Linked DNA regions of Mus musculus. The protein of the gene in region 1 interacts with the protein of each later gene in a pairwise test. Links are inferred from orthologs where the notes say so. Each region holds a gene or a part of one and is shown in the gene's direction. Other genes may lie near its edges.

Region 1 (4,538 bases):
TACCGAGGGTTAGGCAAGTCCCCTTCTGGGTTGACATGAACAGATACCACTCCCACTAGAGAGGTCAGTGATGCTAGACTCAGGGAGCAGTCCCATCAAAGTCTAGCTTGGTGAACCAATGAGTTGACCGGGGTTGCTTAAGGGTTGGGGCTCACTCACAGTGCCATCGCTAGCTCAACGGCAGCTAGGTCAAAGGCACCTGAGTCCAGCTGGGTGGCCACTCAGAAAATCTGCATCCCTGGAGCTCCCAACACAACTAGCAGGCAGTGTCACTGAAGAGTCTCTGTTGTCCCAGCAACCCCTTACATCACCCACTACCTTGAAGAGGGCCTTCTAGAATCTTCCGAATCTCACGTCTGCCCCCCTCTTCAGTTTACAGCAAACAGCTACACAGTAGCAGTGAATGATCAGAATCCAGGGGTACCTCATTGTGTTAGTGTATTAATTCAAGAATCTTTTGATTATCAGTGAGATAAATTCCACTCAGGTTGGGTATGGCAAGATATGAACTTCATGGGAAGGCATCAAAACTAGAAACCCAGGAAGCAGAAGCTGGGATGTTAGTCAGCCATTTGTCTTTGAGCTCCTGTGTGTCAGTATCATTTTTTCTCCTAGTACATAGACTTGGCTTCTTCCACTTGACAGGAAATATGATTGCTGCAGCCATAGTTTGAACTGTGACTTACCTGGAATGGGGCTCCTTCTTAGTTATATACACAGAGAGAGAAATGGGGGGGGGGGAGGAGAGGGAGAAACACATATACATAAATAAAAAATAAAATCTTAAAGAAAGCTGGCTGGTGGTGATGGGACATGCCTTTAATCCCAGCACTTGGGAGGCAGAAGCAGGCAGATCTCCCTGTGCAACTGGAAACCAGCCTGGTCTACATAGTGCTTTCCAGGGTAGCCAGGGCTACATAATGAGTCTCTGTTTCAAAACAACAAACAATAAAATCCTCATAGCATTTAATCAAATAGGTACAGTACAGTGAAGGGGTCTTTTTAAAAAACAGATCTAGGGGCTGGTGAGATGGCTCAGTGGGTAAGAGCACCCGACTGCTCTTCCGAAGGTCCAAAGTTCAAATCCCAGCAACCACATGGTGGCTCACAACCACCCGTAATGAGATCTGATGTCCTCTTCTGGAGTGTCTGAAGACAGCTACAGTGTACTTACATATAATAAATAAATAATAAGTAAAAAACAGATCTAGAAGCCAGAAAGGTGCTCAAAGATCCTAAAATAGAGTAAGTGGGGATGAACTGAAAATTCTCGGCAGAAAAGGTGCCGAGCTGGAGCACAGAAAGGACCACAGCGGGTCCAGACCCGCACCACGGCCTCGCCAATTGCCGAGCCCCTGGGAAACCCAGGAAGGAGGCATTTCGTCGCCATGTCTGCAGCAAGGAGAACCAATGGATCCGTGGCGCCTCGCCAGGGTGGTTAGGAGATGACACCGGACCTACAAGGCTCTCGGGTCAAGCTGCGGGAGGAGGCAGTTCCTGCGCGGAGAACCGAACCGGCCCACGTGGGTCAGACCGCTCCGCCCAGCCGCGCAGACGCTGCTGGACTCCGCAGCCCGGGCTGGGGCTAGGGCCGCTGTGCCTGGACCAAGCAGCCGCGTCACCACGCGTGCACGCGCAGGTCCAGGAATCCCCCACCCTGCAGCGAGCAGGACCCGAGGGACCGTAGCAAGCCCCGCAGGAGCGGGCGCCTCTAGGCCGTGAGTCCGGGCCCTGATGGAGGGCTTGGGGCCCAGCCGCCGGAAAGCGGGTTAGGGAGCTGCCTCTGCAGAGATTAGGGTCGCAGAGCTCGGACCACTGCCAAGTCCGCCAATCCCCGTGCTACAGCCGCTCCCATGCCCCCATACTGTGGGTTAACTTGGGAAAATCCTGATCTTAGGATGTCTGCACTCATTTCACTGACTTTTTGAACCTGGATCCTTAGCCCCGCCCCACCCCAGCTTCCTTTGTGGCCAGATTTAGGACAAATTTTAAGAGAGGGAGAGGGAAAGAGAGTTGGAGGGGTGGGGTGGTGGTGGTGGTGGTGGTGGTGGTGGTGGTGGTGGTGGTGGTGGTGGTGGTGGTGGTGTCTTCAGGCCTTTTCTCACAAGCCAAAGGAGTGAAACATCTGTCCCAACCTCAGTCTCTCTTCATGACTTCTGCCCATTGCTGGGTGTGGGGAGGGTCGCTGCCACCCTATAGGGGAACCTTCTTAGTAGCTGCTTGATTGACTTAATAGTATGTCTCACTCACGAGGCCTCAGTTCTTCAAGTCATACAAATGTGGTCAGTAGCCGGGCATGGTGGCGCACGCCTTTGATCCCAGCACTCGGAAGGCAGAAGCAGGTGGATTTCTGAGTTTTCCAGACAGGGTTTCTCTGTGTAGCTCTTGCTATCCTGGAACTCGCTCTGTAGACCAGGGTGGTCTCAATCTCATGAGATCCGCCTGCCTCTGCCTCCCAAGCGCTGAGATTAAAGGCGTGCGCCGCCACCACTTAGCTTTTGTTCCTATTTCATAACTGTAATTTTGCTACTGTTATGAGACATCATGGAAATGTTTGTGGTTTTCTGTGGACTTATGAAATATACCTGTCTATATCTATACATCTGTATAGATGTAGACATATGTTCCTTTTACAAGTATTATTTGTTATTTAACAGGACATCTTTTTTAAAAAAAAATATTAGCATATCTGTGTGTGTGCATGTGTATGTATGCATGCATGCATGTGGGTGAACAGAGAGGCTGGGGGGTGGGGGCTGGTGTGAAGCCAGCGATGCCTACAGTTGTAAACCATCTGACTTGGGAACATGGGTCCTCTGGAAGAGCAACCAGTGCTCTTAACTGCTGAGCCATATCTCCAGCTCCTAAATTTATATTTTTAATTGAACGAGGGTCAGTGGAAAGGCTGTGGCAATCACCCAGGTCAAAATGACCAGGGCCAAAGGAGAGTTTGTCAAAATGTGGACAGTGAGGTGGGCATGGGAGGAGGGTCAGTAATCCAGGGTGCTCCTAGGCATGGCTAGATAGACTTGTCTTCAGATGGCAGAGCTGTCCTGCCCAAGGACCCTGGAAGGAGAGCTGTCAGGATGTGTAGATCTGAAGAACTGGTGGTAGGTCATAGGGTTGAGTAGGGGTTGAATCTGGGCTGGACACAGATCTGAGAGTCACCTACACAGGATGGTTCTTGAAGCTATAACAGGATGAAGTGACCTTGGGAGAAGTTTGTAGAGTGAAGAGATGGTGAGCCTTAGAGGGAAAACCCTGGGAGGGAGACAGACCAAATAATCAGAGAGAAGGGAGGGACACCATTGCAAGGTTCTTGGGCTCTAGGTTGCCATTCTATCCTGTCCTGCTCTGTCTCATTCTCCTTCTCCTTCCCAGTCCAGATGTTCGCTGCCATCCAGCCAGGACTAGCAGAGGGGGCCCAGTACCCAGGGAGCCTGCCTCCTGGAGTATGCCAACCAGACCTCCAACCAGACAATAACTCCAACTTTGTGGAGAGTGCTAAGGATGCCAATAAGAACTGGCATGGTGTGCCAGGCAAAGTGGATCCTATTCTGATAAGGAGCTCCTCTGAGTCACCCTCTGATAACCAGGTCTTCCAAGCCACCAGGCTCCCTGAGGCCGGAGTCCGCAGTCCCCCGGAGGGTGCGGAGATCCCTGGTGCTGAGCCAGAGAAGTTGAGCGGTGCCAGCAGTGTCTGCTCTCCTCTGGAGGACATTGGCTATGCCAGCAGTTCCTTGAGCATCGACAGCTTCAGCAGCAGTCCAGAACCTGTCTGCGATACCCCTCGAGGTCCGAGCCCTCTGGATCCCCTTCTGCCCTCCGTGGCCCAGGCCGTGCAGCAGCTGCAGGCTCAGGAGCGCTACAAAGAACAGGAGAAGGAGAAACACCACGCGCATTTGGTGATGTATCGGCGCTTGGCGCTGCTCCAGTGGATCCGGGCTCTGCAGCACCAGTTGGTCGACCAGCAGGCCCGACTGCAAGAGAGCTTTGACACCATCCTGGACAACCGGAAGGAGCTTATCCGCTGTCTGCAACAGAGGGAAGCACCTTGCAGGCACCAGGACCAGGGCTAAGGGTGTGCACAAGTGTGTGTGCACAAGTGTGTGTGTGCACAAGTGTGTGCATTTGCAGGCTTTTGAGTGGTTATACACAAGGAAGGATGTGAGTATTAGCTGGCATGTATGCAAGTAAGCATAAGTGAATATCTATATGCTAACATGTAAGCAGGTATGTAAGGCATGTGTGTTTATGTATGCATGTGTGGCTAGGTACCCAGGAATGTGTATATATATTCCTGAATGTAGAGACAAAAGATATATATGCATGTGTATCAGTTTATATGTACAGGCTTGTGTTGGGTGTGTGTTGAGACTTACACGTTCCAGTGCTGGCATAAGAAACATGTGCTAGGAATGTGTGTGTTTGCAGAGACTTAAGGGCAGGTGTGTGTAAATGTATGTTCAATTGCACCTGCAGGGCGTCCACCCATCTCCTGTGTTCCCAAAGTCTACCCCAGCCTTATATTCTACTGA
Region 2 (3,900 bases), on another chromosome or scaffold:
CTGGTGAGTGGCTCAGCTGTTGAGAGCACGGGAGCTCTTCCAGAGGAACTGGGTTTGATTCTCAGCACTCAACAAGGGCTCACAATCATCTATACCTCTATTTCCAAGGGCTCTGGTGTCCTCTTCTCGTCTCTACAGCCACCTGCATGGTAACACAGCATATATGCAGACAAAACACCCATATACATAAAAATGAAGATTTAGAAAGTATTATAGGCCCAGGTTTGGGGATGTAGCACAGTAGCAAAATACATGGCAAGCACATGAGACACCTGGTGAACCCTACTAATGAAAATGGAGTTTTGTTATGTCTTAGTTAGCTTTTGCATTCCTTTCAAGGCCCTCTGGATGCCAAAAATTGGCATTTCTAAGATACTGTTTTGAAAGAGTTTCTTTTGAACTCACTCTGTAGACCAGACTGGCCTCAAACTCAGAAATCCACCTGCCTCTGCCTCCCAAGTGCTGGGATTAAAGGTGTGCGCCACCACTGCCCGGCTATAAAGGTCTTTTTATTTAGTGTTTTGCCTATTTTTACGCGCGCGCGTGTGTGTGTGTGTGTGTGTGTGTGTGTGTGTATTATATATGTGGTACATGCATGTGATTGTGTAATGCACCTATAGGAAGGCCAGAGCAGGACATCATTCTCTGTGTTACTGCTTTGAGACAGGGTCTCATAGAACTGGAGGAAGTGTGTGTGTGTGTGTGTGTGTGTGTGTGTGTGTGTATTATATATGTGGTACATGCATGTGATTGTGTAATGCACCTATAGGAAGGCCAGAGCAGGACATCATTCTCTGTGTTACTGCTTTGAGACAGGGTCTCATAGAACTGGAGGAAGTCTTGGCTAGGCTAGCTGGCCAGTGATCTTGGGATCTGCCTATCCCCACCTACCAATGTTGGACTAATAGGTACCAGTTGGCTTTTTATAGACGTGAGAGAGAAGAGCTTAAGTCCTCCCTCTTGAAAACAGCCCTGAGCAATTTCCTTACCCCTTACTTCATTTTGAACTGACTAAGGTAACACCATCCTTTCCCAGTGTTAATTTTGTGCCTGCCCAGTCACTTCTCAGCCTTCCACCAATAGCCACATCGCTTTGATGATGCTTCTAGGACTGTCCATCATTTTGACCATGGTCCAGATGTCTTATATAGTATCTGGAAGATACTGGTGGGTTGAAAAGGAAGCAAATGTTGTTATTACTAACTTTCTAGATCATTTCTAGTTTAGTGAGCACAATTCAATCTAAATTTATAGCTCATTGTAGAGTCCTGTACAAAGTTGTTAAAATTCTAAAAATACGATGGTAAACAGTTTTGAAACTATTGGAACATAACTTTTTATTTCTGACAAGTGAGATCTTCAGTATATATTCAGTGCATCTATAGAATAGAGTATCCGATTGTAACCAAGAAGTCAACATGCTTAACTATGTAGTAATTATCCAACCTGATGTGTTCACTATGAGGAGTGTTGTGTACAAGGGCACAGGAGTGAGTTTTGGTTTTTTTGTTCGTTTGCATTCCTTAGTATGGTTTTTGTTTTTGAGGATAAGGTTTCTTTGTGTAGCCCTGGATATCCTGGAATTCCCATTGTAGATCCTGCTGGTCTTAAACTCAGAGATCTGTCTGGTTCTGCCTCCCAAGTGCTAGATTAAAGGCGTGCAGTAGCACCACAGGCTTGCATTCCTTAGTATGTTAATAGAAATCTTCTAAAGGAAACCTGTTTCCTTTCCTCTTAGGGTTATGTATATAAATTTTTTCTTCTAGAAGATGTTCAAAAGACATTTTATAGATACACTTGCAAACCATTTTCCTTTCTTTTTCCCCAAAATATTCACTAAGGGATTTTTTTTTTAAGTTCTATTGACAGGGAGTTTATAATGTGATATTTGTGTCTCTTATGTAGTATTGAAATATATATATGGTTTCTGAATATTAAGCTCTTGTTAAAGTAGCATTTCCCCTTTTAAATGTTTGTGTAACATCTTTTGTTTTATGAAACCAGCTTGACAAAAGTAAGCTGAAGCCAGGAACCAGAGTTGCTTTGGATATGACCACACTAACCATCATGAGGTGGGTTTCTCATTGTTTACTTCCCATTTTCTTAGAGGGGAGGTTTTCTAAAGTACAGGATTTGTGGAATCATTGAAGATTTTACTACCCCTTACCTATTAAGTTCAAGGTCTTTAGAAGGTGCTTGCATAATCCACAAGCTAAGACGAAATCCCTTGAGAGAAAAGTTTCTGATTTTTTTTTTTTTTCATCCTAGATATCTGCCAAGAGAGGTGGATCCATTGGTTTATAACATGTCTCACGAGGATCCTGGAAATGTATCTTATTCTGAGATTGGAGGCCTGTCAGAACAGATTCGGGAGTTAAGAGAGGTGGGTGTTGTGTTCTCTGATCTCAGACTATTGCCCTATTGCTTTTAGGATGTCTGAAGGGAGAAATGGTGTAAAATTACATTTTGGGTTGTTGTTGTTTGGTTGGTTTTTCTTGTTTTGTTTCATTTCATTTTGTTTTTGGCTCAATAGTAGCTTCTGCTTATTATACATTTGTAACTCTGCTGAGAATAGCAATGAATTTGTAACTGTAAAGATTACTGCTGCTTGCTATTTTGGAGTGTTGGTAAAGTCACCTTTTTGTGTCCAAAAAAGAATATAGGGCAAAGTGAAGAAATATTGGTATCTAATACCTTTGCCATTTACATTTCCAATTGTCTTCAGTGTGCTTAGGTCAACTAGTTGCACACTGGGCAACATGCTGTGTGGTTTTCCTAAAGCTAGTGATGTTGAACCCAGTACAATAAAAACTGTGTTACCTTGGCCCCCAAATATTTTTATCTTTTTTCAAACTATTTGTTGCTCTTTAGAATACTGGCTACAGAAGTTTATAAGCTTTCAAGTGATGAATTAGATTAGGATCGCCGTGTCTCATAACCTGGGAAGTTACACTGTCTTACTGATTTATGTTTCCCGAGGCCAGCCTAAGTATTTAGGAATGAATGAGAAGAGTTGGGAGTAGTTCTTGAATGTGTAGTTCATGGTGGTTCATAATTCTTAGACCTCAGCTCATTACACATTTTGAAACCATTATTAAAGTATAAACTGCTTGGGCTGTTAAGATGGCTTAGTCAGTAAAAGTGCTTGCCACACAAGGCTAGATAACCTGGGTTTGATCCCTGGGACCCAGGTGAAGGAGGGCAGAAGAACCGACTCCATAAAGTTGTCTTCTCTTGCCCACAAGTGTGCTGTGCCATACACTTCCTCCTCATCATGCACAAGTGCATTAGCACATGCATGTGGACACAGACACACATAGGGACACAGACATATATTTGTACACAGAATAATAATAAATATTTTAAAAAATTAAAGGAAACTGGTCTGAGTAGTTTGAAGATTGGGGTAGGGAACAGGCATTCCAGGTGATTATGAAACCAGATTTTTCTTGGCAATATATAAAGAAGCACTGGCCTGACTATGAAATCAAAGTATATACTGAGTTCAGGATAGTGAGGGGGTAAGAGAAGGAAAAGGAAATGTCTTCATGAAACTTGCCTCCCTCCCACAGTGCTTGGCTGCATCCCATCTGCCAAGGAGTAGGAGACACACACACACTTACACACACTTTTTATCCTCAGATATTTTGGAATGTTGGTGGTTTTGGTTTCTTCACACTTAGTTTATACTAATCATGCTTCATGGCATCAGAAACATTCAGTAACATCACACAGATGGTATTTCAAGTAGTTGGTGCTATAAATAAATTGGATAGCCAGATCCTCTTCCTCCTCCTCCTCCTCTTCTTCCTCTTCCTTCTCTTCTTCCTCCTCATACTCCTCCTTTCTTCCTCCTCCTATTTTTCTTTTCTCCTCCTCTGACACAGTATCTCATATATC
Region 3 (4,268 bases), on another chromosome or scaffold:
AGTCTGGGACAACCATCTGTTACATAGTCAAAAGAGACTGTGCCCCAGGATCTCTGAGATGGAGCCCCCTTCCACCTTATCATGGCTCCTTCTCCCCATCCCTCAGCCCTCAGTTCAGATGTCATCTACTTAGAGGGGCTGACTTCTCAACTATGTCTTTCATCACTGTCCACTAAGCTTTGGTCTCCCACTTCTGTCTCCTGATGCACCCATGAGCTTAGGGATCCCTTGCTCGGAACCCTGCAGACCTAGAACAGTGTTGGGCACACTGCAGGCCCTCAGTACTGATCTTGTGAAGGAATAAATTCTTCCTTTTCTGTCCACCCCCACCCCCAGCTCAACCCACCTCTCTTCTTAACCTGTTCTTACCTGCCAGGGGCTCTCCCCCCCCTGGAAGCCCGCCCTCCAGGGCACCCCCAAGGACCTCATAGGGGCCCAGGGGGGCAGGGGCCAGGGGGAGTTTCCCATAGTCTACGAGCCAGCCCAGCCCGCTAGCTGGGAGCAGGGCCCTGTCCAGCTCCAGTCCCAGGGTCGCCAGGAGTGACATGGCTGTGACACAGGCACAGGGCAGCGACGGCAATGGAGGCTGCACCAACAATTGGGAGGCAGCGTGGAAGATTGTTCAGCTGGGTGAAGACAGGCACCAAGGCGAAGGTGGAGGACCTGTGAGGACAAGGGGACGTGGGTGGGATTGAGTCAAAGCGGCTTGACCCACAGGCTACACAGTTTCCTTCTTTCCGAAAATTTCAGCGCTCCACACATTCCCAGGGACATTATTGGAAACTCCCCTGCCCCATCTCCTCCCTCAACACAGAAACCTAGTGTTTTCCCAGGGGAATTACCTCTAGTCCCTCCTACCCACCTCATCTTATTCCTCTTCATAAAAATTTCAATCCCAAGGGAATTTCCTTCTAGCCGTGCCCCTTCCGCATCATTAGACTATACCCCCTTTAATCCACAGGGGTTCCCAGAATAATTCTGCATGCCTGGGCCCTTCATCAGTGTCACACACACAGATCCCGCTCTTCCCTTAAAAATTTTGGTGACTTCTAAAGATTCTACGGGAAGCTCCGCCCACCCTTCTGTCTGTCACAGTCAGTTCCCGTCCCCCACTAGCAAGTCCCTAGAGGCCCCGCCCCTGTAGTGCTAGTGCTAACTCTTTCTTAAAGGTGTTCCTAAAGCCTTTCCTGTCAGTTTAAGCCAGTCCCCGCCCCAGCAGGTGTCTGATTGGAGGGAAGTTGGGCCTGAGTCGGAGCCTCAAGCAAAACCCCACCCTTCCTCGCTGCTGGCTCGACTAGCGACGAGGCGCAAGCTCAGTCCCAGGACCCGATCCATTGTTACGCCACTACCCTCCTGGGGGACCAGTGCGCGTGTTTAGCCAATGACCGGCCGCCCGCCGTAGTTCAGGCCGGGGGTGGAGGGGTGGGGGGGTGGGGGAATAAGACAATGCGCATGCGCAACAGGTTGTGGGGTTGTCTCCTTGGAGGAAAAGGGGCAGAGGGTCTGTGAATTAGCGCGCAGGCGCAACGGCGCGCGAGCCGACCTTAAAAGCCCCCAAATTCTCCGGAAGCACGCCCTCCTCCTCCCCGCCCCTCGCAACTCGAGCCTAGTGCGCTTGCTCAGCGGATGCGCCGGCCGCCAGCTTCCCTCTTCTGCGCCTGCGCGACCGTGGTTCCTCACTTCGTCTCCCCCGCCCCCACCACGAGGCTGACCCGTGAAGCCCCGCGAGCTCTGAAAGGGCGGGAAAGGCAGTTGGCGAGGGAGGGGCGAGCGGTTACTCACTCCATGGCGGCGAAAAGGCGAGGAGGCAACGGCGGCGGCGGCCTCGGCTGAAGAGACGGTGTGAGCGGAGAGTGAAGGCGCGGTGAGCGCGGAGACGGGGGCGGGGGACACGACGGGGTCGCGGCTACAGAGCCATTGCGCGGGCGGAGGCGGCGTGGCGGGAGCGTTAAGGGAGACTGTGCTGAGAGGGTTGAAAATGAGGCGGCCCCGGGGCCTGGGGACAAATATACCGGGGGCGGCGCAGCGCGGGCTTGCCTGGATCCCTCCGCGCCCCGCCCTCGCGCGGCCCCGACGGGGCGGTGGCGACCCCGGGCCCGCCATGTCGCCCTGACCCTCCACTCTCTGCTTCAGGCTGGGGGCCCGGGCTCGGTCTCCTGAATCGGTCAGATCCGATGTGTCTTTCACACCCGAAACCAGCTCGTCTCGTTCTCTCTCCCTGCTTCACGAATTTGCCACCCGAGACCTCGTGGGTTAAGCCCATCGCCGAATGGCGCAAGCTAGCTTAGGCTTCATAGAGGAGTTCCAGGCAGCAACCGCGAGATAACGCTTCCCAAGTACTTGTAGAGCGCTGTATACGCGCACAGATATATCAGCTATGGAAAGTAGGCCACGAAGTCCTAACCACGAGACTCTTCAACATATTTTTGTTTGTTTTGTTTTAACATTTATTGTGGTGGTCAGAGGAGAGCTAGCAGGAGTTGGTTCTCTGACCATGTGAGTCCCAGGGACGGAACTCGGGTCAAACTATTTGGCAGCCTTTACCCACTGCTCAGTCATTGTATTTTCTTTTAGAAAAAAACCCTGACTTCACCTCTTTTACTCTCCCTACCCCAGATTCTTAGCCATATGATCGTTCTGTGTGTCCCACCTCCAAGGTTTCTGTTTCCAGCCATCCCTGCCGACCTCTAAGGTTTTGCCCTTGCTCTGACTTTCTTGCAGTCCTTGCTCTCTTGCTGACCCCACTAGATAATTATTTCTTGATCCTGTCCAAAATAGGACATTTATATTCCATTTAGTAAAAGAGTCCCTCTTGTCCTTCACCGGGGATGATGCGTGAACCCTGTTTTCTACCCCATGTTCATGTACATGGCTGGCATTCCATGTGAAAGTCAGTCAGTGTGTCATATTTGTAGCAGCTGAGAGACTGAATGGTTGGAGATAGAGCTCAAGAATGCTCGTCTGTTTTTAACACCAGAACCTTAGTCTCTGTCCAAGCACCACATGGATTGGGCTTGACTTGCCTGTATTCTCAGGATTTGGGAGATGGGAGAAAAGAAATCATGAGTTCAGGGTCATACTGACTGGCCTCAATGTGTTTTAAAAAGAAAAAGTCCAGAGGCCAGGCTTGATATCTCACCTACTTAGGAGGCTAAGACAGGAGTATTGAAAGTCAAGGTCAGGGCTGGAGCTGCTTTGAGATGGCTCTGGTGGTGATCTCTAAACTCAACCCTCCTGAGTTCCATCCTCAGGACCCACTTGGTAGAAGGACAAAAGCAACTCTAGACGGTTGTCCTCTGACCTCCACCACCTGTAGTGACAGGTCTACATACTGAGTAAGGGGAGGAAAAAAGCTCAAGGCTTGCCTTGACTAGAAAGTGAGTTCTTGGCTGTCTAGAGAACTTAACAAAGATCCTGATTTTAAAAAAATATGTAATGGGCTGGGGTTGGAGGTTGGTGGCAGAGTGTTGGCCAGAATACTGCTTTCCAGACTCTGGTGTCCATCCCTGGTACTGTAAAAGATTCAGAGCAGGTGGGGAATACTGATTTTGAAAGTTACAAGTCCTTGAGATAATTCCCCTTGGAATGGGCACTCTTTTTTTTTTTTTAGATTTTATTTATGTAAGTACACAGGTTCTCTTCAGACACACCAGAAGAGGGCATCAGATTCCATTGCAGATGGTTGTGAGCCACCATGTGGTTGCTCTGGAAAAGCAGTCAGTGCTCTGTAACACTGAGCCATCAGAGTGTGAATTCTTATCTTCTGCCAGTGTTTGAGCACAGGCGTGATTTGATGTGTTTAGACTCCAGCCCTCCCTTGCCAGCTATGGGCTTTGTTAAGTCCATGTGGAGTCTGCTACGAATACAGAAATGGGATGGACCCAGAGCTTCATGAACTGCATGCTAAATGGACATTCTACCACCTGAGCTGCATCCCTGGGCCCCACAGGTGCTGGTTTTTATTTGAAACATTGTGCCATGTTGCTGTGCCGGTGGTGCTCCTTTCCTTGAGTTTGGTATTTTAAAGTAAACTTTTGGAATAATCGAAAGGTTTCAAAGACAGTGCAGAGTGGGGGTACCAGCCCATAGTCTTCCCCATGGTACTTCTTTTTTCTTTCCTGAGGTCCTACCCAGATGCTTCCCCCGCCCTCAGATCCACCTTAACTCAAGAGCTGGTTTTCACATTTAGCTGCCATGCCCTCCCCAGCATGTGCACAGCCGTCACTTTATGGGAGTTGTGATCATCCCTGGAGGCCTGCCACCCTGAG
Region 4 (3,900 bases), on another chromosome or scaffold:
CTTTTCATTGTAGCGGTGGATAGACCAGTCACTGGTAGGATTTAAATGAATGAAAGAGCCAGGTGTTGAAGTGCACACCTGTAATCCCAGCACTTAGGAGGTGAAGGCAGGAGGGTCAGGAGTCCAAGGTCCTCCTCAGCTACATAGCAAGTTTCAGACCAGCCTGGTCTACATGAGACCCTGTCTCAAAAAGAAAAACAGAAATGAGTGAATGAATGAATAAGCAGACATAAAAGCAGATTCATTCATTCTTTATAGTTTGTAGCATTTTCAACCAGGATTCTTCCTTTCGGTATTTACTGACCTTTTCTTTCTGTTGCATGAAGATCTCGGACATCGAGAGCCGCATTTCAGCCCTGACCATCGCTGGCTTAAACATAGCACCGTGTGTGCGTCTCACACGAAGACGGGACCAGAAGCAAAGGAGCCAGGTGTGTCTGCCTTTCACGCCCCCAATAGAATATCACATGACCTGGAAGGTGCCAAATATCTAGGATCTGCAGAGCTGTACTGACAGCCGTGTTTCTCTGTAGGTACAAACTATAGACACGTCGAGGCAGCAGAGGAGGAAACTGCCTGCCCCTCCTGTGAAAGGTATGTTGCACTTAAAACAGCAAGCTGGGGTTGTTGGGAGAACCTGGGCCCTGAGTGTGTGAAAGTGTGAGGGCCGGATCCAGTGTGCCATCTCCCTAGGGACTGTGTTAATCCATCTTACTTGAGTGTGTGAGAAGGCGTGCATGAGGACGAGTGTAGAATGGATGTGTGTAGAATGGATTCTAATATTCTAGCTAGCCCGTATAAAATACATGATCTTGTTGTTTGATTAACATGCTGTAAGCCTAGATTGGGTAGGTCTTGAGCTATGCTAACTTACATCCCAGCCGTATATATCGCTTGCTACTTACTGCTTTCTCCTGGCCACATGCTCATGGACCCTTCTCATGGTTAGTTCTCTCTCTCTCTCTCTGTCTCTCTCTCTCTGTGTCTCTCTCTCTGTCTCTCTCTCTCTCTGTGTCTCTCTCTCTGTCTCTCTGTCTCTCTCTCTGTCTCTCTCTGTCTCTCTCTCTCTCTGTCTTTCTCTCTCTCTCTCTCTCTCCTTCTTCTCCCTCCTGTTCCCTACTTGAGACCTGTCACTCAACCCTCAACTCTCGCCTTTTTCTCTCTACTGACCAATCACAAGCTCTAGCCTTTTATTAACCAGTTAACTTTAAACTGGGGAGCAGGGTTTGTGTAGCATCACTCGGTGTATGTGAGGATCTTACTGACAAGGACAGCCAGATAGGTCTTGGGGGCCAGCATTTAGCATTTGGATACACAGCAGCACCAGACCAACCCCCAAAAGGTGTGAGAAGGTTGGTGTATGTCAGTGTGCCTGGGTGAGCAAGTGTATGTGTGAAAGTCTGGGAGTATGATGGTGTAAGTGTGTGCAGGTGAGTTATGTTAATGAGAGTAGTGTATGAAGGTAGTGTGGTGTGCATGTGTGAATGTGAGGCTGGTGTGAGTGTACATGTGAGGGTGTGAGGCTGGTGTGAGTGTGTATGTGAGGGTGTGGGGCTCAGTGTGCAACTGAGTGTGGGTATTATGTGAGTGTGAGATTAGATGTGAGTGATTGCCTGCATTGATGTGTCTGTGGCGGAATATATCAAGTGTATGATTTGTACATGTGTGTGTGTGTATGTGTTATGTGATTGTGTGTTGTGAAAGTATTATGGGATTTGGGGTTTTTTCATGTGTGAATCTGTTGAGTCCGACCAGCAGCTCACATGTCTGGGTTCAAGCCTGGAAGGCATCTTGGAATCTGGAAGAAAAGAGGGAACTAGGCGGCGCAAGAAAGGATGGAACCAAGACATTAGTCTGATCAAGGTTCAATTTTACTATTTGGAGACATGGGGTTATGAAGAAGGGGAAGGGGCCCATTCCCGCCAAATCATCCTTGGAGTCCAGTTGCAGGTGACCACGTGTTGGCTCTGGAACAGCTAGGCGGCAGGTAGTAGCAGAGGGAGTGGCAGAACGATAGGGTGGCAGACTCCACACACCCCCCCCATGATCTCCTGGTGATAACAGTCAAACCTGATCAGCCAGATTTCAGGCTGAGGGGGGGAGGTTACATGAATCTGTGAGGGTGAATTGTATGGGAGTTTGAGTGTGTAAGAGAATATGAGGTTTGAGTGTGTGGGGGATATGGGTGTGCATGTGAGCCTGAGAATGTTTGAGTATGTGCACTTGTGAGTAGATGCATTATGAATGTGTTTGAACATGTGTAAGGTGAATGAGTCCATGAATGTGAGACTGTATGCTTGTGTTTTGTAAATATGTATGAGTGTGAGTTTGTGAAGCTGTGTTTAACTGTTTATAGGTGAGTGTGTTTCAGTGTGTTGGCCACATGAGTGTGAAGATATGTGGGTGTGTATCTGGTGTGCGCATGTGGGGTGTGAGGTGTGTGTGTGTTTGTGTGTGTGTTTGAGTGTGGGCATGGACTTGGTGTGTAACAGCGTGTGCATGAGTGAGGGAATGTGCATAAGCATGAATATGTTCTTGTGTGTCAGTATATGTTCAAGTTTATGAGAGTGTGCATATATGTGTGTAGTGTGTTGATGTATGTGTCCATGTGTTTGAGTGTATGTATGAGTGTGAGGGTACATGCATGATTTGTATGAGATTGCATGTACACAGGTAGTATGCATGTGTGTCCATGTGTGTGAGAGTGTGTATGGAGCTAGACTGGTGGCCAATCACCCCAGCAGCCTCCTGGGTTACAAGCTGTTTTACATGGTACTGGGATCCCACCGCGAGCATGGCAAGTCTTCCTCCCTCCTGAGCCATCTCTCCAGATGTTCGTACGTGTCTCGCCTTGGGTCCCCCCTAGAAGCAAACCTTGGCTCACAGATGAGTGTGAGGTAGCTTATGAGGAGGTCCAGAACGTGCTGAGGGTAGGGGAGACAGGTCACATTGAGGAAAGCATACATGCCGGGTCGGCATGCTTTAATTATTGAACCTCTTCTTTGGAAAAATGAGGCCAAACCCTCCTGACTGAGCATCTTACTGGCACCTAGTTCTTATTCTTTGTTTCCTTTTTAGCTGAAAAAATCGAAGCATCTTCCGTGACCCCCATTAAGACATTCAACCGCAACTTCCTTCTCCAAGGCTCCTCCACAAACAGGCCCACAGCAAGTACCGGTGACACCAAGGACTTGATGGTAAGAATCTCTGTGCCCATTATGTTACATGATGGTCCAGTCCTCGCCCCCTGCACCCCACCCCCGCCCCTGTGACCCCATCCTGCAGGCTTTTCTTCCTTCCTTCTACCTCAGCAGAGCCCCAAGAGGCAACCTTCCTCTCTGGTCTCCTGACCTGCCTTAGACTTTGTAGGGTGTGTGCCACACTGTGTGGCATTGCTGACCTCTTTAGCCTTAGTCTGCCATCTCAGCTATATGTAGCACTTTTAGGAACCAGCTGTAATTGGAGAGAAAGGAAAGAGTGCCAGGTCTGGTGGATGTGTAAGGGTTTTTACTCTGGAATGATCCATCTGTGCTTGTAAGTTTCCGTTAGCCACGAATGCCTTTTCCTAAGCAGAGCAGCAGCTGCCCCTAAATGTGACAAGGGACCTGACAGAGGGTGATGTTCCAGACTCTGGGGATCATGGGGAGGGATAAGAGAGTGTTCACAACAAAAACAATTGTAGCACATCAGGTAGGTCATATTGTAATCTCGCCATAAAGGAGGCTAAGGCAGGAGGATTACTGCAAGTTGGGGGCCAGTCAGGGCTGCATGTGAGGTCCCATCGAGCCACACTTACATAGCAAGACACTGTCACCGGTGACATAGCTTATGGGGTATCTTAGTTAGGTTTGCTATTGCTGAGATGAAACACCATGACCAAAAGCAACTTGGGGAGCAAAG
Region 5 (3,900 bases), on another chromosome or scaffold:
GTTGAATTCCATTCGAAAGCTCCATCAAGCACAGAAGCTTGTCTCTAAATGCCATTCACCAGTTTTCACCTTCTGTGCTGTTATCTTGGTACCATCTGCAAGGAGAAAAACACTTTCACGTCTGCTCTTTTCAGTGGCATAAGCCTCATTTGTTTGCAGGCAGTCCTGCCTCCAGCAGGATTTTAAAGATGGGGGCAGCTGGAATTGGAGGTGATAGAAATCCTCCCTCCCCTCCCCCACCTTCAATTGGGGCGCCTGTGTATTTCACCCCCTAAAGCACCCTGAGCTTTGTTCAGGAAGAGTGGAAAACTGAGAAGCAATGCAGAGCGGTTGGAGGAGTCAGACTTAATTTCAAAATTGCTTAATAGGCCATGGGGTTTATTTGTCTTATACAAATTATATGCAAATAAGGTCTGCGGTTCTTACACATGCTGTACTGGTCGCAAGGCTCTGGAGTCTAATTTCTTGTTTTCTTCCTGTTTCTGTCTAATTCTGGACAAGAGTCTTTGTCTGGTTCTTTTTTTTTCTTTTCTTTTTTTCTTCTTCTTCTCATTTTATAAGATTTGCAGAGAGGTGTCATAAAATAACACAAATCCTGACTTTCAGTTAGAAATCTGTACTAGTTTCCCACTGACTCTGGTGAGTATGGGCTAAAGTCCAAATGCCTGACATTTAAAACCATTTTATGACCTGCCTTCAGTCCATCTTCACAGCCATATCCCTCTAGCTTCCCTGTGGCTACCACACAGTGTCCAGCCAGATTAGACTCCTGGTCATTCTGGGAATGCATTTGCTTACTCAGAATAGAATACCCTTCTACTCACCTCTGCCCATTGAAATCCAATCCAGCTTTCAGGATCCGACTCTAAATGCCATCTCTCCCTGACATTATTTTCCTCCCCTCCCCCACCCAGGGATCTTTGCTCCTTCTTTTAGCTTTATATCATTATGCCTTGTTTTTTTTAAAGCTGTAGTTTGCCCTCTATTCTCTGACTTGATTATACTGAAAGTTCCTTGAAGGCAAGGATAATGTGCATGTTCTCACTCTGGTTAATCAGACCTTCCTAACTCTTTGACCCTTGATTAAATAGTTGTGAAAGTGAATTGAATTATACTGCAGGAGGCTGACGATTTGGGATTTTAGGGCTCATGTGTGCTGCTGATCTGTACTTGAGATAAGTAATTTAACTACTCTCTTATGCTAAACTGGGACAAGTTAACATTGCCTAGGCAGATGTCAGGACAAAATGAGAGAACCACATAGAGAGAAGTCCTTTGAGGGCTTCAAAATAAAGTTATTGCTATATAATATACAATGTTAATATTTTCAAAATCAAGAAATAATGTAGAAATTACACTCAGAAAATAATTTAGAAATTAAAATCAGGTATAAAGTCCATTTTATGGAGAAAGAGAGACTTTGCTTTTGTCCTAAGGAAATCCCATGAAGCATTTGAGTCATTGACTGAGCTTACAGTCTATCTGAAAGGAGATGCAACTGAAGAGTCACATGTGTGGTTCTAAACTGTCATTTCCATCCGACTCCTAGTATCAATATCATCTTTCTTTCCTTTTTTTATGTTAAGGTGGAGACAGAAATCCAACGGGTCTCAGAGGCTTATGAGAACTTGGTGAAGTCATCTTCCAAAAGAGAGGCTCTGGAGAAAGCCATGAGGAACAAGCTGGAGGGCGAGATTAGAAGGATGCATGACTTCAACAGAGATCTGAGAGGTGAGCGGCAAGTGCACTTCACTTTCTAGTTATTTTGTTTGCTTGTTTGTTTGGGGGACAAGGTCTCTTTACATAGTTCAGGCAGGCCTAGGATTTACAACATAGTCCATGCTAGCCTCATATTCCACAATTCCCCTGCTTTCCCCTCCCAGGCAGTGAGGATAAAAAAGCATGTGCCACGACATCTGATTCTTGCTTTAGAGTAGCTCTTGTATTATTTTAAGATTTACATTTGAAAATTTGGGACTATGCCACCCACCCTGTTTGTCAAAAACAAAACAAAACAAACCCAAAAAAACCAAAATCCCAGTGATGACTTTTGCCAAAGGCCTGTATTTAGAAGGCAGATAGCATGTGTGTTAACCGTCTTCACCTTCCACAGACCGTCTAGAGACTGCCAACAAGCAGCTGGCAGAGAAGGAGTACGAGGGGTCCGAGGACACCAGGAAGACCATCTCGCAGCTCTTTGCCAAACGTAAGTCTGCAATCTCCAGATGCAGGCGTGAATGCATGCATGGTAGTAACAGGTGTGGAAATGTGGCAGGTCTGGTTGGAGGTAAAGTTTATGAAAATGTTGCCTGACTCTTTTCTTTAGCCTTCTAGAACATCCAGGAGAGAATGAGTCTTATCTTTTTCCTGTTAGTGCATGAAAGGCCACGAAGGCTTCTGCCTCAACTCTAGTCACATTGAAGGAGTGTTCTCCATACTAAGTCAGAGAAAATCCATTAGAGTTCCTGCCATTGTCAAGGCTAGCTGAAGAAAAGACCTTAGGGAATACTGTCCTCAATAATGTTGAAGGGATTGTAGGCTCTGGGAGATGGGATGAACATAAAGAACAATGATTAATGTTTGAAATCCCCAGCCTATGCCACGGGTTCACCTACTAAACACTTATTGCTGTGTCATATTATTACCCACTGGCAGATTGTAGAAAGACCAGAAAAGGAAGGGCCTTGGTATGACCTGGACTCATGGTTCTGATTACGGAGTTGGAGGGTATGGGGCTGGGCAGAGCTGAGCCTTCCTTATAATAGTGCTTCCTTTGTCTGGAAATACTCCTAGGACTGTAACAATGAATTAATCCTCTTCTTTATCGAGTCCCTAATGGACTCCACCCAGCTAGACAATGCCTAATTCTTTCCAATTGCTTTAATAACAGCAGCAATAAAAACTTCATAGTGGTTGGAGCCCACTGGGAGCATGAATTGGGTTGAGAACAGATGAACTGTCCTTGTTCCTACAGATGCTTAAGCTTGGCTGCCCCCCTACCCCAGCCTCCCTCAGTGCAACTCCCACTGAAGTCCTTCTTGGTGGGGACTTGTCAGTCTGTTCTATTTTTGCTGGGTCTCCCAATGACCCTTTCATGTCATTCTGTGCAGTTTCCAGTTAGCTTTTACAAGTCTGTTTGATCTTCATTTACAATATTCCCTTCCCTGCCTGGATTGCTCTGTTGTGCTCTGGCTTCGGAACAGTTTTTCTTCCTCTTGGCCCGAGCCTCCTGTTCCTTTGTCAGTAGCCTTAAGGGTAAGGAATGTTGTTTTTCTGGTGTCATCAGAACCCAGGGTAAATTGTGAAGTTGCTTTTGTGGTGTCACTGTTACCCTGGAAGCTAGTTCAGTGGCAGGAAGACAGTGGTGGCCTCCCAGAATAAAACAAAACATATGGATTCTTGCCCTGGATCTTCTAGCTTATACTCCTCTGTGTGAAGAAATGGTATTTCAGGTGCTCTCAGAGCTCTGCTGTGGGTTCATGAAATTCACTTAGCTACTAAGCAAAATTACATTAACAACAGGGTGAAATACTGTCAGTGGTTCTAAAACTAGGTGGAGAAGAGAGCATGTCTTTTTGACCCATTTATTTCTTGTGCCCTTGGGCATACAAAGGGTCCTCAGAGATGGGAAGTGTAGAAGGAAGAAAGAAGGCTCTTTTGAAAAACCTTCTCTGGGAATATACTCCAGCAACCCCAGAAAGATAGAAGCAGTTCAAGCCAGTAGGTGATTGGGTACACTAGAAAACTTTAGCTCCAGTATGGAATCCACCCCTCATTTTCCAGGAGCTCTGGCGTGTTAGTCATGCTCGAGCTCCAAGTCCTGTTTCCTCGTATGCAAAATAGAGAAGGGGAGAATAACACCCCAGATCCTTGTTCTGAGGATTAAGCAAGCACAATGCC
Region 6 (4,649 bases), on another chromosome or scaffold:
CCGGGTACTTCTGTATTCACCTTCCAAGTGCCGGAGTACACCGCCGCACATAGTTTAGGTGGTGCTAGGGACGGATACCCAGGGCCTCATGCAAGCTAGGCAAACTCTTTACCAACTGAGCCACAAGCACTGTTCCAACTGAACTGCTGTTCATCCTTAGCTTTCCGCTGTTTACACAGGACGAACACCCCAGTTGCCTGGTCACTGGGTATTCGACCCATTAAGGCCTCCAGTGGCTCCCACACCTGGGAGACTTGGTTTGTGGAGCCGAAAAGATACAGTTGAAGTTTCCCAAAACTACTTTTCCCCTGAGGCGGCGCCGGTCCGGTCCCTAGGGAAACACAGGAAGCCCAAGTGACCCTGCGATGGATGCGCGGTTTTAGGGGTGGCATCTCGGGACCTCGAATCCCCCACCCCTAAGTCCTCAAGAAGAACGAACCTGGAGCTACAGCAATCCGGGTCGAAGTTAGACCACGGCGACACAAAGCTCACGCGCGTTCACAGTGCCGCAGGTTCCACTCTGTAGCCTGGGCACCGCGGCCAGTCAATCAGGACTCTAGGAAGCCGCCATCTTCCTGGCCGGAAGTTTGTGCGGCGCTGCCGAGACACCTTCTGGGAAATGTAGTTCAGTGGCCCTCGGGACATGGAAGCTGATAGGCTGAGGCGTTCTGGGGGTGTGGCTTGGAGTGGCTGGAATGGGGCTGAAGATGGGTAATACTGGGAGTGGGTGTGATCTGTGGTGGATAGAAGCAAAATTGGGCGTAATTTGTAGTTCCGGTTTAATCACGCTATGGTTCTCAAGGCTTCTGCTGAAATAGGACAGAAGCCTGAGCTGGGCGGGGCCGTTTGATGATTGACGGGGTAGGACTTGGCTTGGACTTGCCAAAGGCCTTCTCAGTTACTTATGTAACTTAGGTTGGCATTCATTCACTAGTACCTTGATGAGGACTGGTGGTGCACACCTGTCATCCCAACACTCCAGAGACCCGGAGACGAAGATCGGGCGTTTAGACCAGGCTGGGCTAAATGAGACGCTGTATAAAAACTAAAATGTAAAGAAAAAGTAAAGAAGGCAGCAGACACACTGTGGACAAGCTTATTGTTGCCAGTGCCTCCAACCGCCTGATGCAGCAGTTCAGACTCATTGAAGAGAAACGTTGTGGGCTACTGAGCAGGTGCAGGCTCTTGCCACCAATCCTGAGGGGCCTGAGTTCGATCTCGGAGACAAGTAGGACCACCACAGACAAAGATGAGTAAAGCAAAGTAATGAAAAATAAAAGCTGTGCAAATGCTGAAGCCAACTCCTACAGTTTTGGTTTTTTTTTGGTTTTAGAAACACACACACACACACACACACACACACACACACACACACACACACACAAAGACCTTCACATTAGAGCGAGTCCTGGTGAACAGGGGACACAAAAAATCCAAAATGAAAATGGAAGGTTTGGCCTCGGGTAAGGGGATACTGATATCTTTAGAGCGGGACAAAGGTCCTGGTCCTCCATCCTCCTCCCGTTCTGGAGGAAGCCGGCATCCTGGAGAAGGAAACGAAACAATAACTGTCCATGTGATCAGGGTAGGGGGGCTTCCTGTTTCCCAGCCCCTCCCGGGCCACTTTTGGCTATCGCAGCCTCAGTAGCCAGTGGCCAGAATGGCTTGAGATATGCCCTGGATCTCAGGCCTTTCCCAAGGTGCTCTGGAGAAGCAGAGAAGAGCGCAGCAGGGTCAACCCCCAGGGTGAGGGAGTTTGATGCTAAGAGCCGTAGGAAGAAAGAGGATTTTAGGGTCCCTACCCAATGCTTCTATGGGGGGTGGGGCACAGATAAGAGAAACGCCTTCAGACAGCTGAGGGGAGAAGAATGCCCAGTAGAGATGGGGGATGGGGGAGTAAGGAACAAGTAGATAGTTAGTGGGCACTATTGGAGAGGTATATGAATATTTAAATGTGTCAATCGGAGTAGACACCCCAAAAATCCTACAGGAAACAAAAAAACAAAAAACAAGGATTCTAAGGTGACGAAGGCAAGAACTGAAAGCAGACTGTAGTGACAGAGGCAATGAGTGCCCGGGCCACACGGCCCCGAAGCCGTCGAGGGAGGCATCCTCTGCCTGTAAGTGTGCCCCTCTTCCTGCCACACTCAGTCCCATGGATCCTGGGAACCCAGGCCTGCTAGGCTCAGAGCCCGTGGTGGTGTAGGGGAGTCCTCCACAGGTGGAGCTGGATATGATGGCCAAGAGACTGTGTGTGTGTGTTGGGGGGAAACGGGGTTCATTCACAGGGGGAGCTAGACCCTGTAGCTGAGAGCTCAGAGGAAGTAGATGCCAACAATGGACGCTTCGAGACTAAACCTGAGCTGCATCAGGAATACCTTGGTCCTGGCCTTCAGAGCCCAAGGAACTGGTAGGATGCATTTAGTATGTACCCTATATTCTAGCCCAACACCCCAACACCCCCCCTGCACAAAGCTGCCTCCTGCCACTCACCTGCCCATTGCCTCTGCTGCCTGCCTCTCTCCTCTTCCTGTTTATCCTCCAGCCATGCCGCTCATTCCCTACTCTACCTTCCTAGCGACCCTAGGGTTAGCCCTCCAGGTCTCTTCTGAGCCTCAGGTGGCTGGGGTTCCCCCACTATCTTCACAGGATCAAGGAGGGTTGTGATGTGGGATCCCATGCGGTTCTATCCTTGAGCCCAGAAGAACAGTGCGAGCCTGAGGTGGAAGCCCACCAGGTCCTGCAAGAAGCCCCCCTGGATAGTGGCCCTGCTGAGATATCAGTACCCAGTGTGTATGAGACCTTGCAGTGCAGGCTGAGCTCCCTTGAGGCAGTTGTAGCTGCCTTGCGCCACCACTCGCTAAGCTTTCCAAAGTCAGTGGAAGCAGAAGACAGAGACCAGGGGGCTCCGGGGCCCTTTGGTGATGAGAAAGAAGACGCAGGACCTGGACAGCAGGAGGCTGCTCGCCTCATAGAGAGGAACGCCTGGCTGCGGCTAGCCCTGTGCAACCGGGAGGATGAGCTGGCATGCACTCAGGCTTCACTGCAGGACGCCCAGGCAGAGAAGGAGACTCTGCAGAGACAGGTAAGCTGGTGACTGGGGAAGAGGCAGATCCAGCCTTGGGAGCAGACACACTGATGTGGAACAGTGACAGATGTGCCAAGGAAGTGACCAACAGAGACAGCACAGTGAGAGGGAGAGCAAGGAAGACAGGCAGGCTGCACCCCATGATCTTAACACTCAGGAAGTCCAAGAGGGACAGTCTCCACTCAGGTGAGCCCTGGCTAAGACCAACTTTGTTCTCAGCTGTAGACTGAGTCCAAGGCTAGCCTGGATTACAGACCCTACCTATGTCAGTTGCACTACACACACACACAAACACACACACTAATCCTGTCTTGGGGGGTGTTTTTTATTTTTCGTTTTTTCGGATACAGAATTTCTCTGTGTAACAGAGCCCTGGCTGTCCTGAACTTACTAGGGTAGACTAGGGTGGCCTCAAAATCACAGAGATCCACCTGCCTCTGCTTTCCCAGTGCTGGGATTAAAGGTGTGAGCTATGCCAGACTTATTTTAGGGTTTCTATTGCTGTAATAAAACACCTCAACCAAAAGCAACTGGGGAGGAAGAGATTTATTTCATCTTAAGACTCTCAGGCCACACTCCATCACTGAGGGAAGCTCGGGCAGGAACCTCAAGGCATGGAGGGATGCTGCTTACTGGCTTGCTCCCTATGGCTTGCTCAGCCTGCTTTCTTATAGAACCAGGACCAACAGCCCAGGGATGGCACCACCCACAATGGGCTGGCCCCTCCCTCCCCATCAATTGTCAATCAGAAAAGTGTCCACAGGTCCATTTCGGGGAGCATTTTCTCAATTGTGGTCCCTCTTCCAAAATGATTCCAGTTGATGTCAAGTTCACACGAACCACCACAGATCCTGAGATCACTGTGGCTGGAACAGAGTGGGAGAGATGAAGGCGCGTGGGGGAAGGCCACAGTATGCAGGGTGTTGAAAGCTAGTGTGCTCTGGTGTGTGGTGGATTCTGAGGGGAACTGACCTGCTGCAGGCGTTCACTTGTGCCATCTGATGACTGTGAGCGGAACAGTCTGGCGGTGGACCATAATCCTGAAGGTGGAGGAGGGGTGAAGTGGCCCGGGGCGTTTAGTGGAGGTGACCAGAAACCTACAGATTATGGGTGATGTTAAACCCAGATATGGTGGGACAAGCCTGTAATGATAAGGACTTCAGAGGCTCAGATGAGAGGATCACAGTTTAACACTAGCTTTGACGAGATAGGCAAATGTCTCAAAACAAAACTAGGACAAGTAGGGATACAGAATCCTCCAGTCAGGGCTGTGGGCGTGACTGGGGGGGGTAGAGTGACAGCCTAGAATCCTCCAATGAGGGGCTAGGGGCGTGGCTTAGCACAGCTTTCAGAGACTTCTCACAACAACAAAAATGAATTCTCCTGAATGTAGTGGGCACACTTGAAATCTCAACTACTTGGGAGGCTGAAGTGGGGGGTGGCTTCAGTTGGGGAGGTATAAATGACTAAAAATTTAGAAAGGAATAAAGTGGAGAGGGCTGGAGAGTTGTCTCAGCAGTTAAGAGCACTGGCTGCTCTTCCAGAAGACCCAGGTTTGATT
Region 7 (3,900 bases), on another chromosome or scaffold:
GGAAGGCCATTGGTGAAGGTGCAACCTCAGATGCGGTTGACTGACCAGGACTGAAAGGGTCATGCAAAGAATTTGAGGCTTGGCACCATAAAGAGAGCCTATGAGAGGCTGTTGGTGAAGCCTAGTTACAGCAGAAGACTCCAGTGTATTGGAGATGTCAGCACCATGGGATGATCACCAAGCACAGCAGCAGCAATGGAGTGGAGTCAACCAGAGCCTAGAGTGCTACAGAGAGCAGAGCTGGAGATGTGATCCAAGCCCTTTGGAGGAGCCCAGAAGATCATGTGGGGATCCCAGACATTGGAACAAGAAGCTGCAAAGTTGAAGTTGCCTTGGAGACCCCAAGATGTTTGAAATGCCAGGGAATACCTTCTGAAGAAAGCTGCTAACAGGGAGTGGAACCAGCCCAGGAGAAAGAAGTTTGTTGCAGTCAACAAAGCAGAGAAGAGTTGGAGATCTGAAGAACACTTTGACATAGAGATGTAGAGTTTGGAGTTTGCCCAGCTGGCTTTTGATCTTGCTTTGGGATTGCAGTTAAGTGATTGGATGCACATCAGACGAGACTTTGAACTTCAGGCTTTTAACATTGTTGAGACTGTTATAGACTATGGGGACATTTCTAGTTGGACTAAATGTTTTAGTGTCATGCTGTGTCTAGGTGTGGTCCCCATAGAATCATGTGTTTGAACAAGCCTAGGGGAGTCAGAGAGTAGAATGTGGTGGTTTGAATATGCTTGGCCCAGAGAGTGGCACTATTAGGAGGCGTGGCCTTCTTGGAGTAGGTATAGCCTTGTTGGAGGACTTGTGTCACTGTGGGGGTGGATTTTGAGACCCTCCTCCTAGCTGCCTGGGAGTCAGTCTTTTCCTGTTTGCCTTTGGAACAAGATGTAGAGCTCTCAGCTCCTCCAGCACCATGCCTGCCTGGATGCTGCCATGCTTCTTGGTATGATGATAATGTACTGAACCTGTGTGCCAGCCCCAATAAAATGATGTCCTTTTTAAGAGTTGCCTTGGTCATGGTGTCTCTTCACAGCAATGGAAACCCTAACTAAGACAGATGGGTATGGCAGGCTCTTCTGGCCTTAGACTGAGGCATCTAAGAGGAAGGAAGGGACCATTCTGGGTGTAGGAAGTCCTTGAGGATTTTGTAGGGAGATGAGTGGGAGGCTGGGTGAAGCCCAGAGGATAGTAGGAGAGAGGCCACTGCAGTCCAACAGAAAGCTAGGAGGGAGCCTCTTTCTCTAGTCCCAGGTGTTTTAGACCAGGGGGCATCCTTAAGCCAGAACAGCTGGGATGGGAATGGGTCAGTTTGACTACTGGGAACACAGGGACTGAGATGAGGTTCCATAGGATGCCAGGGCTGGGACTGGGGTACAGTTGTAGTTTTTGAGATCCTAAAGGGACCCTCTGGGGAGATCTGACAGTCCTGATCCCTTTGAGTCCTTTGCCTGGTCTCATCCACAGTGGATGGGGAGCTCAGCCGCCTGCAACGGCAGTGCAAGATGATGGAGTTGGAAAGGCGGGCATACAGCAAGGAAGTTCATCAGCGCCTCAGGAAGCAAGTGTAAGCTGGGGAAAAGAACAGAAAAGGGACTTCTGAGCCCTGGGAGGAGGGGAGGAGGGGAGGAGGGGAGGAGGGGAGGAGGGGAGGAGGGGAGGACGGGAGGAGGGGAGGAGGGGAGGAGGGGAGGAGGGGAGGAGGGGAGGGGAAGTACAGGGGTGGGGAAGGAGCCGGGACAGGGGAGTGGTTCATGAAAGGGACAGGATAAAAGGTAGGAACAGGAGGAGGTGCAGGGCCTGAGAGTTGCAGGATCTCTGGAGAGTCCAGTGCTGGGGTAGAGAAGAGACGGGATTGGGAAAAACAGGGTCTGGGGCGGGGTGGGGGGTGGGGGGTGGGAGGTGGGGGTGGGGAGGTGGGGTGTCGGGGCTCAGTGAGGGGCGCCGGCTGGAACTGGTTGAGTGCTGCCACTTGCTGGTGCGGACCACCTGCTCCTCCCGGTTGGACAGCGAGGAGATTCGGCAGCTGGAGATGCTTCGAGCCAAGCTCCAGACGCAGATTAACGTAGCGCAGAGCCAGGTCAAGCGACTGGGAGACAAGAAGCATTTGGCGGAAATGGAATGTCTTCTCAAGTCTCGGGCCCAGGTGCAGGTGGAAATCGAGGCGCTGCAAGAGCAGAACCGGGCCCTGGACAAGCAGGTGGGTTCTCCGAGTTGGCCGCCATCCTATCAGACCTTGTAGTAACTGTTCTAAGTCTTGGCGATCTTATCTGAAAAATGGAGCCCAGAGCTCCACCCAGAGCCAGGGATGGTGTGTTAACTGTAAAGCCAACATCCTGAAAAACTGAGGCAGGGGGGTTGCTGTAAGTTCAAGGCTACAGGCTGCGAATCCCACCTCCCATTCCTGCAATGTGCCAAGCAAAAGAAACTATTCCCAAATTCACACTAAATTTTAGCTGGACTGTGGACCTATTTGAATACTTTTAGCCACCGGAGAAGAATGTTTTGTTTGTTTGTTTTGCTTTGCTTTTTTGAAACAAGGTCTTATTATGGTGTCTTGTAACTAGGTGTATAGACCAAGCTATACTAAACTCATAGAGATCTGACTCTGCCTTCCAAGTAAAGGCGTGGGCTACCATGCGGGACCCTGGGAGGCATTTTTGAACTAGTGGTACCTAAACTTCCTTTGTCTTGGAGCTCTTAATTTCTAAGTAAGGTTTTTGTTGTTGTTTTATTTTTAAAGTTTTTTTGTTTGTTTGGTTTTGGTTTTTAAATTTTTGTTATGTATACAATGTTCTGCCTGCATGTATGCCTGCATGCCAGAAGAGGGCACCAGATCTCATTATAGATGGTTAGACCCATCTATAATGTGGTTGCTTGGAATTGAACTCAGGACCTCTGGAAGAGCTCCCAGTGCTCTTAATGTCTGAGCCATCTCTCTAGCCCTTTAAAAAAATTTTTTTTTAATCTTTATGTACACTGGTGTTTTCCCTTCATGTCTGTGTAAGAGAGTCAGATCCACTGGGACTTGAGTTACAGACAGTTGTGAGTCACCACGTGGGTACTGGGAATTGAACTCGGGTCCTCTAGAAGAGCAGCCAATGCTCTTAATCACTGAGCCATCTCTCCAACCCTTTGGTGTTTCATTTTTGTTTTTTTCTGAGACAGGGTTTCTCTGTGTAGCCCTGGCTGTCCTGGAACTCACTCTGTAGACCATGCTGTCCTCAAACCCAGAAATCCGCCTGTCTCTGCCTCCCAAGTGCTGGGATTAAAGGCGTGTGCCACCTTGCCCAGCCGGTTCTCTATTTTTTGAAGAGAGCATTGGTTCCCATTACAGACGGTTGTGAGCCACCATGTGATTGCAGGAAATTGAATTCAGGACCTCTAGAAGAACAGTCAGTGCTCTTAACTGCTGAGCCATCTCTCCAGCCCCTGTTGGTTTTGTTTGTTTGATTTTTGTTTTGTTTTGGTTTTATTGTGAGAGAATCCTCAAGAAGTCAAAGCCATGATGAGAGGCAGCTCTGAGAACTCAAAGCCTTGATTTGCAGCTTGACTGATTGTTATACTTGCTGACATTCTTTTGTTTGTTTGTCTTTTGTTGTTGTTGGTTTTTGTTTTTTTGTTTTTTTTGAGACAGGGTTTCTCTGTATAACCCTGGCTGTCCTGGAACTCACTCTGTAGACCAGGCTGGCCTTGAATGCAGAAATCCGCCTGCCTCTGCCTCCCAAGTGCGGGGATTAAAGGCATGTGCCACCACTGCCTGGGCGGCTGCTGACATTCTTTTTTTTTTAATTTTTTATTAGGTATTTTCCTCATTTACATTTCCAATGCTATCCCAAAAGTCCCCCATACCCACCCCCTGGCTGCTGACATTCTTACCTGGGCTGTGGTGAATGGTCTGTG

Evidence for each region.
Region 2: the proteins of 5730409E04Rik (region 1) and Psmc6 interact in binary tests that used the Homo sapiens proteins (3 or more experiments, as listed by UniProt). The two-hybrid records come from large-scale screens. The link is inferred for Mus musculus from reciprocal best matches to the Homo sapiens genes C1orf216 and PSMC6.
Region 3: the proteins of 5730409E04Rik (region 1) and Nup62 interact in binary tests that used the Homo sapiens proteins (3 or more experiments, as listed by UniProt). The two-hybrid records come from large-scale screens. The link is inferred for Mus musculus from reciprocal best matches to the Homo sapiens genes C1orf216 and NUP62.
Region 4: the proteins of 5730409E04Rik (region 1) and Myrip interact in binary tests that used the Homo sapiens proteins (3 or more experiments, as listed by UniProt). The two-hybrid records come from large-scale screens. The link is inferred for Mus musculus from reciprocal best matches to the Homo sapiens genes C1orf216 and MYRIP.
Region 5: the proteins of 5730409E04Rik (region 1) and Amot interact in binary tests that used the Homo sapiens proteins (3 or more experiments, as listed by UniProt). The two-hybrid records come from large-scale screens. The link is inferred for Mus musculus from reciprocal best matches to the Homo sapiens genes C1orf216 and AMOT.
Region 6: the proteins of 5730409E04Rik (region 1) and Ushbp1 interact in binary tests that used the Homo sapiens proteins (3 or more experiments, as listed by UniProt). The two-hybrid records come from large-scale screens. The link is inferred for Mus musculus from reciprocal best matches to the Homo sapiens genes C1orf216 and USHBP1.
Region 7: the proteins of 5730409E04Rik (region 1) and Ccdc114 interact in binary tests that used the Homo sapiens proteins (3 or more experiments, as listed by UniProt). The two-hybrid records come from large-scale screens. The link is inferred for Mus musculus from reciprocal best matches to the Homo sapiens genes C1orf216 and ODAD1.

What each region holds. Positions count from the first base shown.
Region 1 is NC_000070.6:126,608,295-126,612,832, forward strand, and holds the start of 5730409E04Rik (UPF0500 protein C1orf216 homolog), read left to right. Parts: upstream 1-1,559; 5' UTR 1,560-1,718; intron 1,719-3,381; 5' UTR 3,382-3,386; coding exon 3,387-4,079; 3' UTR 4,080-4,538.
Region 2 is NC_000080.6:45,332,649-45,336,548, forward strand, and holds part of Psmc6 (26S proteasome regulatory subunit 10B), read left to right. Parts: intron 1-2,004; coding exon 2,005-2,072; intron 2,073-2,268; coding exon 2,269-2,383; intron 2,384-3,900. UniProt on the Homo sapiens protein: Component of the 26S proteasome, a multiprotein complex involved in the ATP-dependent degradation of ubiquitinated proteins.
Region 3 is NC_000073.6:44,814,620-44,818,887, forward strand, and holds the start of Nup62 (nuclear pore glycoprotein p62), read left to right. Parts: upstream 1-1,468; 5' UTR 1,469-1,864; exon of another isoform or gene 1,865-2,039; intron 2,040-4,268. Other genes in the region: Atf5 (cyclic AMP-dependent transcription factor ATF-5), read right to left, coding at 370-547. UniProt on the Homo sapiens protein: Essential component of the nuclear pore complex. The N-terminal is probably involved in nucleocytoplasmic transport.
Region 4 is NC_000075.6:120,464,368-120,468,267, forward strand, and holds part of Myrip (rab effector MyRIP), read left to right. Parts: intron 1-326; coding exon 327-431; intron 432-533; coding exon 534-594; intron 595-3,078; coding exon 3,079-3,197; intron 3,198-3,900. UniProt on the Homo sapiens protein: Rab effector protein involved in melanosome transport. Serves as link between melanosome-bound RAB27A and the motor proteins MYO5A and MYO7A. May link RAB27A-containing vesicles to actin filaments. Functions as a protein kinase A-anchoring protein (AKAP).
Region 5 is NC_000086.7:145,474,026-145,477,925, reverse strand, and holds part of Amot (angiomotin), read left to right. Parts: intron 1-1,586; coding exon 1,587-1,731; intron 1,732-2,113; coding exon 2,114-2,206; intron 2,207-3,900.
Region 6 is NC_000074.6:71,392,811-71,397,459, reverse strand, and holds the start of Ushbp1 (Usher syndrome type-1C protein-binding protein 1), read left to right. Parts: upstream 1-1,658; 5' UTR 1,659-1,746; intron 1,747-1,990; 5' UTR 1,991-2,066; coding exon 2,067-2,120; intron 2,121-2,288; coding exon 2,289-2,410; intron 2,411-2,649; coding exon 2,650-3,085; intron 3,086-4,649.
Region 7 is NC_000073.6:45,927,060-45,930,959, forward strand, and holds part of Ccdc114 (coiled-coil domain-containing protein 114), read left to right. Parts: intron 1-1,464; coding exon 1,465-1,564; intron 1,565-1,731; exon of another isoform or gene 1,732-1,772; intron 1,773-2,007; coding exon 2,008-2,197; intron 2,198-3,900. UniProt on the Homo sapiens protein: Component of the outer dynein arm-docking complex (ODA-DC) that mediates outer dynein arms (ODA) binding onto the doublet microtubule. Involved in mediating assembly of both ODAs and their axonemal docking complex onto ciliary microtubules.